Diceros bicornis minor: one gene and its partner. The protein of the gene in region 2 interacts with the protein of the main gene of each other region in a pairwise test. Links are inferred from orthologs where the notes say so. Each region holds a gene or a part of one and is shown on either strand. Other genes may lie near its edges. The genes, in order: CDC73 and TSGA10.

Region 1 (3,911 bases), on a different chromosome or scaffold from region 2:
AAACAAAGTGTGAAATCTAGTAAGTGGAACTGTCATTAGGGCAAAAGGAACACAAAGGCAGACAATAACCAGAGCAAGACTTAGGGAAAGCACACCATATTCATACTCTGAGGTACTACACACCTTTTAGAACTTGGCCCAAATTAGGTTCTGGGCTTTGTCAACAGAGAGAAAACCTAATCAGTTACAGACTGGAGAGGATCCATAAGAGAAAACAATCAAACTGATGAGGAGAAGCACTGCTACTACTGCTACTAAACTTACAAGAAATGTATCCTGTCTCCTAAGTAAGACACTGCTGAACAACATCCCTAACAACATTCTTACAGTAAACACAACCAATTCACAGGTGTAATTCTTATGACATGCTTCATTAAATTAAATTAAATTAAACCAATGATATAAAACCAAAATGAATTCTACCTGTGATAAAACAATGTAGTCTCAGGGTGCAAGCTCTTTAACACAAGCACAACAAATGTTAGCGTCCAATCCCACCCCGCCTACTACATTCTCCCCATCTACAAATGTCAATGTATTACTTGAATTCATCTGAATACGGCCCAGTATAATCAGCCCCAAACCTACTTTTCTAGCCTCTATTTCCACTTTTCCTCTAGATCAACATATTTCAAATCACACATCACTACCAATTATTGTACTCTGAAATCTAACATATGGGTAACAACCAGGGTTTTTTCATGATATAGAAAAACAAAATAATAGACTGCCTTGCATGCAATAAGGGTAAGTACTGTTTAAAGTAACAAATGTGTACACAGTTACACGTGCACACAGAGATGAATGGTAAATGAAAATGTATTTGTTGCTGTGATTCACTGTTGTAAAAGTTTGAAATCTACTATTCTAAGCATTCCTTTTTCACTCCTGGCTTCACTGAATTGCTGTCAAAACATTTCCTTTCCAGCTCTCATGCCTTTAAAAGCACTCAGTTCCCCGGTCCTGGAAGATCTAACCCACCATTTCACCCTCAGAATTCCTACCCATTCTTTAAAGCTTATTCATTTGTTCATTCATTTATTCAAGAAAAATCTGCAGCATCTCTACATGCCAAACACTTCTATGAAACCTTACCTCATATCCAAGCTAGAAGTGACTGCTCTTTTCTTAAGAGCTGTTAAGAGCTGGACTGCAATTCATATCAAGTTAGGTTTTATCTCCTCTATTCTGATTAAGTTAACCTCCTCTGAGTAAGGGATCAGAGTACTAAGAAACAATTTTTTCTATTTCTCAGATTGAGCTGCCCTACACCCTGAGTACTCCTTAACCACTTTTTAAAGAAAAAAAACACACACACACACAGTTAAAACTCCAATCAAATATAATTCTGCTTTGCAAATTCTTTTAGAAGGACAAAACACAGGAAACTCAGAATGATGTCATTTCATCAACATTTCATAAAGCTAATTAAACCATAACCCCTCCAGGCCAAAAAACAAAAACTAAAAACCAACCAACAAACTAAATCTCCCCTAGCTTTTCACCAACTCTTCATAAAGCCCACTGCTCCCATTCAATCAAACAAAATGGGTATGGAAGTTCTGGTTCAAGGTCCTAATTACTCCCAGAAAAAAACATCAACGGAAAGAAACATCACTGAAAAGACCCGCAAACGATGATCAACCAGGCCTCTCTCTAGACGTTTTCCTTAAAGACAAATTCAGAAAGCCCCACGTGGATCAACGTTCCAAAACACTTCTCTTCAAAACATTTCCCCAAATCGCATACCACGCTCTGTAAAGCCCACTGCCCTTCACAGTAACTTGCTCCCTGCGGACACTCCTGCCTTCGCCTCGAGCACAGATTCGGGTGACTCGCCCTAAGTGACCAGACCCCTCTCCCGTCCTAACTTCACCGAGTCGGTTCCCTTCTCTCTTCGGGAGCGAATCACGAAAGGAGAGGAGAGACAGACCGGGAGCCGCAAGGGCCAGCAGAGAGAGTTACAACACACGCAGCCTCGGGCAGAGAGGAAAGACTGAAGCACAGGGAGAGGCGCGGGGGGCGGGACGGGCGCTCCTTCGCGCACCTTCACCCGCCGGGGGAGACGATCCGGGAAAGGCACCCACTGCCCCGCTGCCCTCCCTGCGGCGTCCCCAGGACCTAAAACATGGAGCACTCCGGACGCCGCCCGCCGGGCCCTCCTCACCTGCCAGTCTAACTTCTGCTCCAGAGAAGAACTTCCACCCAGAGCACCCGTTTTTCCCCGTCCCCACGGGAAACGGGGGGAGGGGCTGGGAAACAGGTCGCCCGGGGCGCCCCGCTCCGCCCTGCCGCCCCCCGGCCACCGCCCGGCCGGACTCACCCCCAGACCACATAGTTGGTCTTCACGTTCTTGGGCCAGGAGAACTCGCCGAAGATGACTTCGTCTCCCTTCACCACGATCTCCTTCTTCTGGATGTTGTACTGTCGCAGGACGCTCAGCACGTCCGCCATCTTCCCCCCCCGCGCCGCCGCCGCCGGCCCCGGGCGCCGCCGCCGCCGCGCCGGCCTCCCTCGTCCCGCGCCGCCGCGCCCTCTCCCTCCGCCGCCGCCGCCGCCGCCGCGAGCACCAGCCGCCGCGCCAGCAGCCGCCCTCGTCTACGCCAGCAGCCGCGGCCGCAACCACCCAGGCCGCCGAGGACCCCGCGCTGACGGCGAGGCCCCGCCGCCGGCTGCCCGCGGAGAACGCCTGACTGCGCGCCGCCAGCGCCGCCCGGCCGCCGCCAGGGGGAGCCGCGAGCGCCCCGGAACACGCCCCGCCCAGCCCGCACTCGGTACGGGGCCGACTCCCGGCGCGGAGCTCGGAGCGCGGAGACACGGCGCCCACGGGCGGCGCACGTACGGGAGCACTGCCGGGCGCACGCGCGCCGGGCGCGCACCTCCTGCCCCGCGGCGCGCATGCGGCGGGCGACAGGTGCGCGCGCACCTGCACGGAAGGCCAGTGCGTCTGTTCCTAGAGTGCGCGCTGGGGGCTCCAGGACGCGCCTTGAGGGCGGCCCGGGGCTCTCGCGTCCCAGCTTGGGCCAGGGTGGAGTTTGGCAAAAGATGTGCAGCACACTGAGATTCCCTTCCCATCTGGATCGGACCCAAGCCTAGCAAATGGCCTCCAGGTCTTAGCGAGCCGATTAAGCCCCTCTAGAAGGGGGAGGTTTGGGGGGAAGGTTTGGTTTGGAGGTTTTTTGTTTTTGGTGGATTCACATAGTGGAAAAGACAGAGTCCAGCGGAGGTCAGTCTAGGGCACCGAGATTTGTTAGCGGCTGTTTGACCTCCGTCAAGTTACATACCTTCTCACAGCATCAGTTGGTTAATGGAGAAAATGGAGTTAGGATGAGAGTAAGTTGAAAGAGTCTAGCAAATCATCCAAGTATCATAAATGATGGCTCTGCCCGTTCAATTCTTTAGATGATGACTTTTTCCATTCTGGCCCGTTCTCCTCCCTGCCAGCTGCAAAAAGGACTACATTTAAATGGCTCTCTTCCAGGATGCTGATGGGAAAGTTAGAGAACACAGCCCAAAATGTCCAAATTAGAATTTGGATTGGATTTGGATTACTTGATTTTTTACTGGCACTCAGAAGACTCGAGGGGGTCCTTGCTGTGCTGGAAACAAAATAAATTCAATATTCTGTGGCCTGTATACTTTAAATCAAACATATCCCGTGGGACCCATACTTTTTTTTATTCCTTTTACTGTAGCAGAAAAGAAAAAAAGGCAACTTGTGATTGACATAACTGAATTCCTTGACGTGCTTTGAAAGGAATCAAATTGTGGTTATGTGCGCTACAGATATAGGGATATAGATATCGAAGTGTGGTTCATATTCTATACTATCTATAGCCATTTTGCAACTGAATTTGAGAAATTTTGTCTATTCTGCAAATGTTCCCATCCCTATAGTATTTTCCTGAACT
Region 2 (3,911 bases):
AAGTAGGAAGGAATAGCTTCACTAACAGAAGAATGTAGAAAACCACATAAAATTTTACGAATAATTTTGCGATACGTTTCTGCATTTATAATAAAAATAAGTGAATAAATGATTTGGGAATTCACTTCAAACAAAACAGTAAAGCCACAATGTTTAACCTTTCTTATGAAAAAGAAATACTCTCTCCAGTCATTCCAGCTGAACCCAAGCTCTTCACTTCTCCTCAATCCAGACTAGACTGTAAAGAAATAACTTGTCTTTTTAAAGGAGCATAAAACAATGGCCTTAGCAAGGGAAACAAAAGACAAAATAAACAAATGGGACTACAACAGACTAAAAGCTACTGCAAAGCCAAGGATACTATCAACAAAACAAAAAGACAACCCACCAACTGGGAGAAAATATTTGTAAATCATATATCCGATAAGGGGTTAATTTCCAAAATATATAAAGAATCCCTACAACTCAACAACAAAAAAATGAACAAACCAATCAAAAAAATGGGCAGAAGAAATGAACATTTTTCCAAAGAAGATATACAGATGGCCAATAGGCACATGAAAAGATGTTCAATATCACTAATTATTAGGGAAACGTAAATCAAAACTACAATGAGATGTCACCTCATGCTCATCAGAATGGTTATAACTAACAAGACAAGAAATAAGTGTTAGAGAAGATGTGGAGAAAAGGGAACTCTCATACACTGCTAGTGGGAATGCAAATTGGTGCAGCCACTATGGAAAACAGTATGGAGATTTCTCAAAAAATTAAAACTAGAAATACCATATTATCCAGCTATCCCACTACCGGGTATTTATCCAAAGAACATGAAATCAATAATTCCAAAAGATACATGCACCCCTATGTTCATTGCACCATTATTCACAATAGCCAAGATGTGGAAGCAACCCAAGTCCCATCAATGGATGAATGGATAAAGATATGCTATATATATACAATGGACTACTACTCAGCCATAAAAAAGACAAAATTGTGCCATTTGCAACAACATGGATGGACTTTGAGGGTATTATGCGAAGCAAAATAAGTCACACAGAGAAAGACAAATACCATATGATTTCACTCACATGTGGAAGATAAACAAACAAACATATAGATAAGGAAAACAGATTACCAGAGGAGAAGGGGGTTAGAGGAGGGCAAAAGGGGTAAAGGGGCACACATGTATGGTGACAGATAAAAACTGGACTGTTGGTGGTGAACATGATGCAGTCTATACAGAAACTGAAATATAGTTATGTACACCTGAAATTTACACAATGTTGTAAGCCAATATGACCTCAATTAAATCATTATAAAAAACAAAAACTCCAATGGCCTTTGGAGAGGTATCATTTATCAGGACCTCTTGGAACTATAAGAAGAGGTTAAAGAGTTGTTTTCAAGAGGCTTTTATGAACTAAAAGAATTTAGTAATATATAGACTGTTGTTAACAGCATAACTAAGACAAATAGAACTACCTTACTAACTAGCTCACTTCAAAAGATTATCATGGAGTACATGTATAAGAAAGTTTACAGCAGTGTTGTTCCTATTTACCAAAAACTGTAAAAACCTTAATGTCCACCAACAGTTGAGTAGATAAATTGTGGTATACTCTTATAATGTAACACTAAACAACAAGCAACAAAGATAAATCTTAAAAACATAATATGGAGTAAAGAAGCAAAATGTAAAGGAATAAGTGGTACAATTCCATTTACATAAAGTTCAAAAACAAGCCAAACTAGAATGTGCTTGCTTACATACAAAGATACCAAAACTATAAGGAAAAGCAAGGAAGTGGCTATCATAGAATCAGAATAGTGGCTACATCTGGGGGGAAGGGGTGAGTAACTGGAAAAGGGAATGAATAGTAACACCTGCTTTAAGTGCCTCTGTATATGGAGTACTCTAAAAACAAATTATCCTAAAACAAGGTGATCTAAGCAACTGCAAAAGAAGACAGAAAGCCCAGAGAATCTCTACATCTGATTATATGCTGGGCAATAAGCAGTGCTTTTTTTCAGGAGGTAAACAAAATAATAAACAAAAAACAATAATATTTTGGAAGCTGCTATTAAACAAGGTCAAATCTTATTGTTTAAAATAAATATTTCATTAATGTACCTTCCTAGTTATTTCCCACTAATTAAGACTGAAGGGTTTAGTTCACTGATCAGTTAAAATCCAAACGAGAATTAGTTTTACCCTGAAGGCAGATTTGAACGACATGACACCTTTATATTTCATAACTAATCGATTTTCTTCTAGTTACAAACCGATTGTCATTTATTTCTTTACAGGTAAAAAAAAAAAAAAGTGCTGAAAACCAGTAGAGGAAATTTAAAACAACAAATATCCTGAGATATAAGGGCCTAGACTGGAAGAAGGAAAACCCTAGGACACTGACATCTACGCAAACTTTTCCTGAAGCCGCGATGTCTGATTTTATTTAAAGAAAAAAAAATGTATTTCTATTCGTATTTGGGTATCAGGTCCATGATCGCTGCTTGGTTATTTAAAGTCTCAAATATCTTTTTCAAATAAAAGCCAGCCCTGCCTTTCTTGTGTATAATTTCTATTGAAATTATACGAGATTTTCATGCAAATACCTACGTAATCTCAGCCCTTCACCTCCCAAAGTCTATAAAGAGGTTTAGAAGTGAGAGGTGGGGAGTCAGGAAGAGCCAGGTTGAACTCCCAAATTTCTGACTTCCAAATTCCTCAGCTCCACTCCAGAGCGTTTCTAAACAGAATACTCCCCCCAACAACCAAGCGGAGAGCTGCGGCAGGATGCGAAGCGGTCACCATAGGAACTGGGATCAACCCTAAGCTCCCAAGAAACAACAGGGGCAAAGTTTGCTCCTGGAGGGCTCCTCCGGACCGCAACTCTGCCGGCTACTGCCCCTCACAGCGGCTCAAGCAGCGAATACCCACCTCGGGGGTCACCCACAGCCCCCAACCCCCGCCACGCTCGCCCTCTTGCAGCCGCCCCGTCTGAGGCCTTCTGGCCCAGGAGCTGCTTTACCCCAACCCGGCGCAGCCCCGCTGCCTCTACCTGGAGCTCTGGGTCCCTCCCGGGACTTCTCGGCCCGCCGTCCTCCCTGGAGCTCATCCCGGCGACCGCCAGACCTCGGCCTCAGCCTGGGATCCAGGTCCCTCCCCGTCATCATCCTCCGCCCCTTTCCCTTTTCTTTCCACCCCCAAATCGAGCTGACCCCTCCCCGGTGGAGGCGGAGGAAGGCGGGACCTGGCGGGAAGGAGGCGGGGGCGGTTAGCGCCGGCCGGCGCCGCCGTCGGCCCCGCCCTCACGCTCTGTACCTGAGGGGGCTCGTCCTCCACCTCCCCGGCGCCTCCGCTCCGCTTCCTTCCTGCGCGCCCCCAGTCCCCGTGCGCACGCGTACCTGGCTCGACCCTGCCTCTCGCGGCGACTAAAAGCCGTGCGCGCGCACCCACGTACGTAGCGAGTCGTACGTCCACCTGTCCGCCGTACAGGGCGCCGTGGAGAGGCCTCTTCCCGGTCCATCCACGCCGCGCAGGCGCACGCCCACGCAGCGCCCAGTCGCCCCACCCGAGCGTCCCGTCTCCTAGTAACCAGCCGCCAGCCGCGTTTTCCATGACTTTTTTCTTACTCCCTGCCGGTGGCTGCCACACCTGGATAGAACGCGCATGCGCAGGGGTGTATCGCCCCTGGCTGCCTTCCCTCGGCTCTGGAACGCCTGATGCTTCGCTGCCGCGGCTTTGTGCCGCTTTTCCCAGGGATCGGGCCCCATTCTGGACCCACGTTCAGTAAACTCGTTACTCCTCAGAGCTGCTCCTGGGCGCTGGGAGGTTGGTGCGCTCTCCTGCCGCAGCCAGGGGAGGGTTTGCGGGGAGCCTCCCAGGTCGGGTCCTGCTGCTGTAG

Evidence for each region.
Region 1: the proteins of TSGA10 (region 2) and CDC73 interact in binary tests that used the Homo sapiens proteins (3 or more experiments, as listed by UniProt). The two-hybrid records come from large-scale screens. The link is inferred for Diceros bicornis minor from reciprocal best matches to the Homo sapiens genes TSGA10 and CDC73.

What each region holds. Positions count from the first base shown.
Region 1 is NC_080777.1:22,529,885-22,533,795, reverse strand, and holds the start of CDC73 (parafibromin), read right to left. Parts: upstream 2,805-3,911; 5' UTR 2,455-2,804; coding exon 2,324-2,454; intron 1-2,323.
Region 2 is NC_080779.1:14,242,990-14,246,900, reverse strand, and holds the start of TSGA10 (testis-specific gene 10 protein), read right to left. Parts: upstream 3,131-3,911; 5' UTR 3,123-3,130; coding exon 3,066-3,122; intron 1-3,065. UniProt on the Homo sapiens protein: Plays a role in spermatogenesis. When overexpressed, prevents nuclear localization of HIF1A.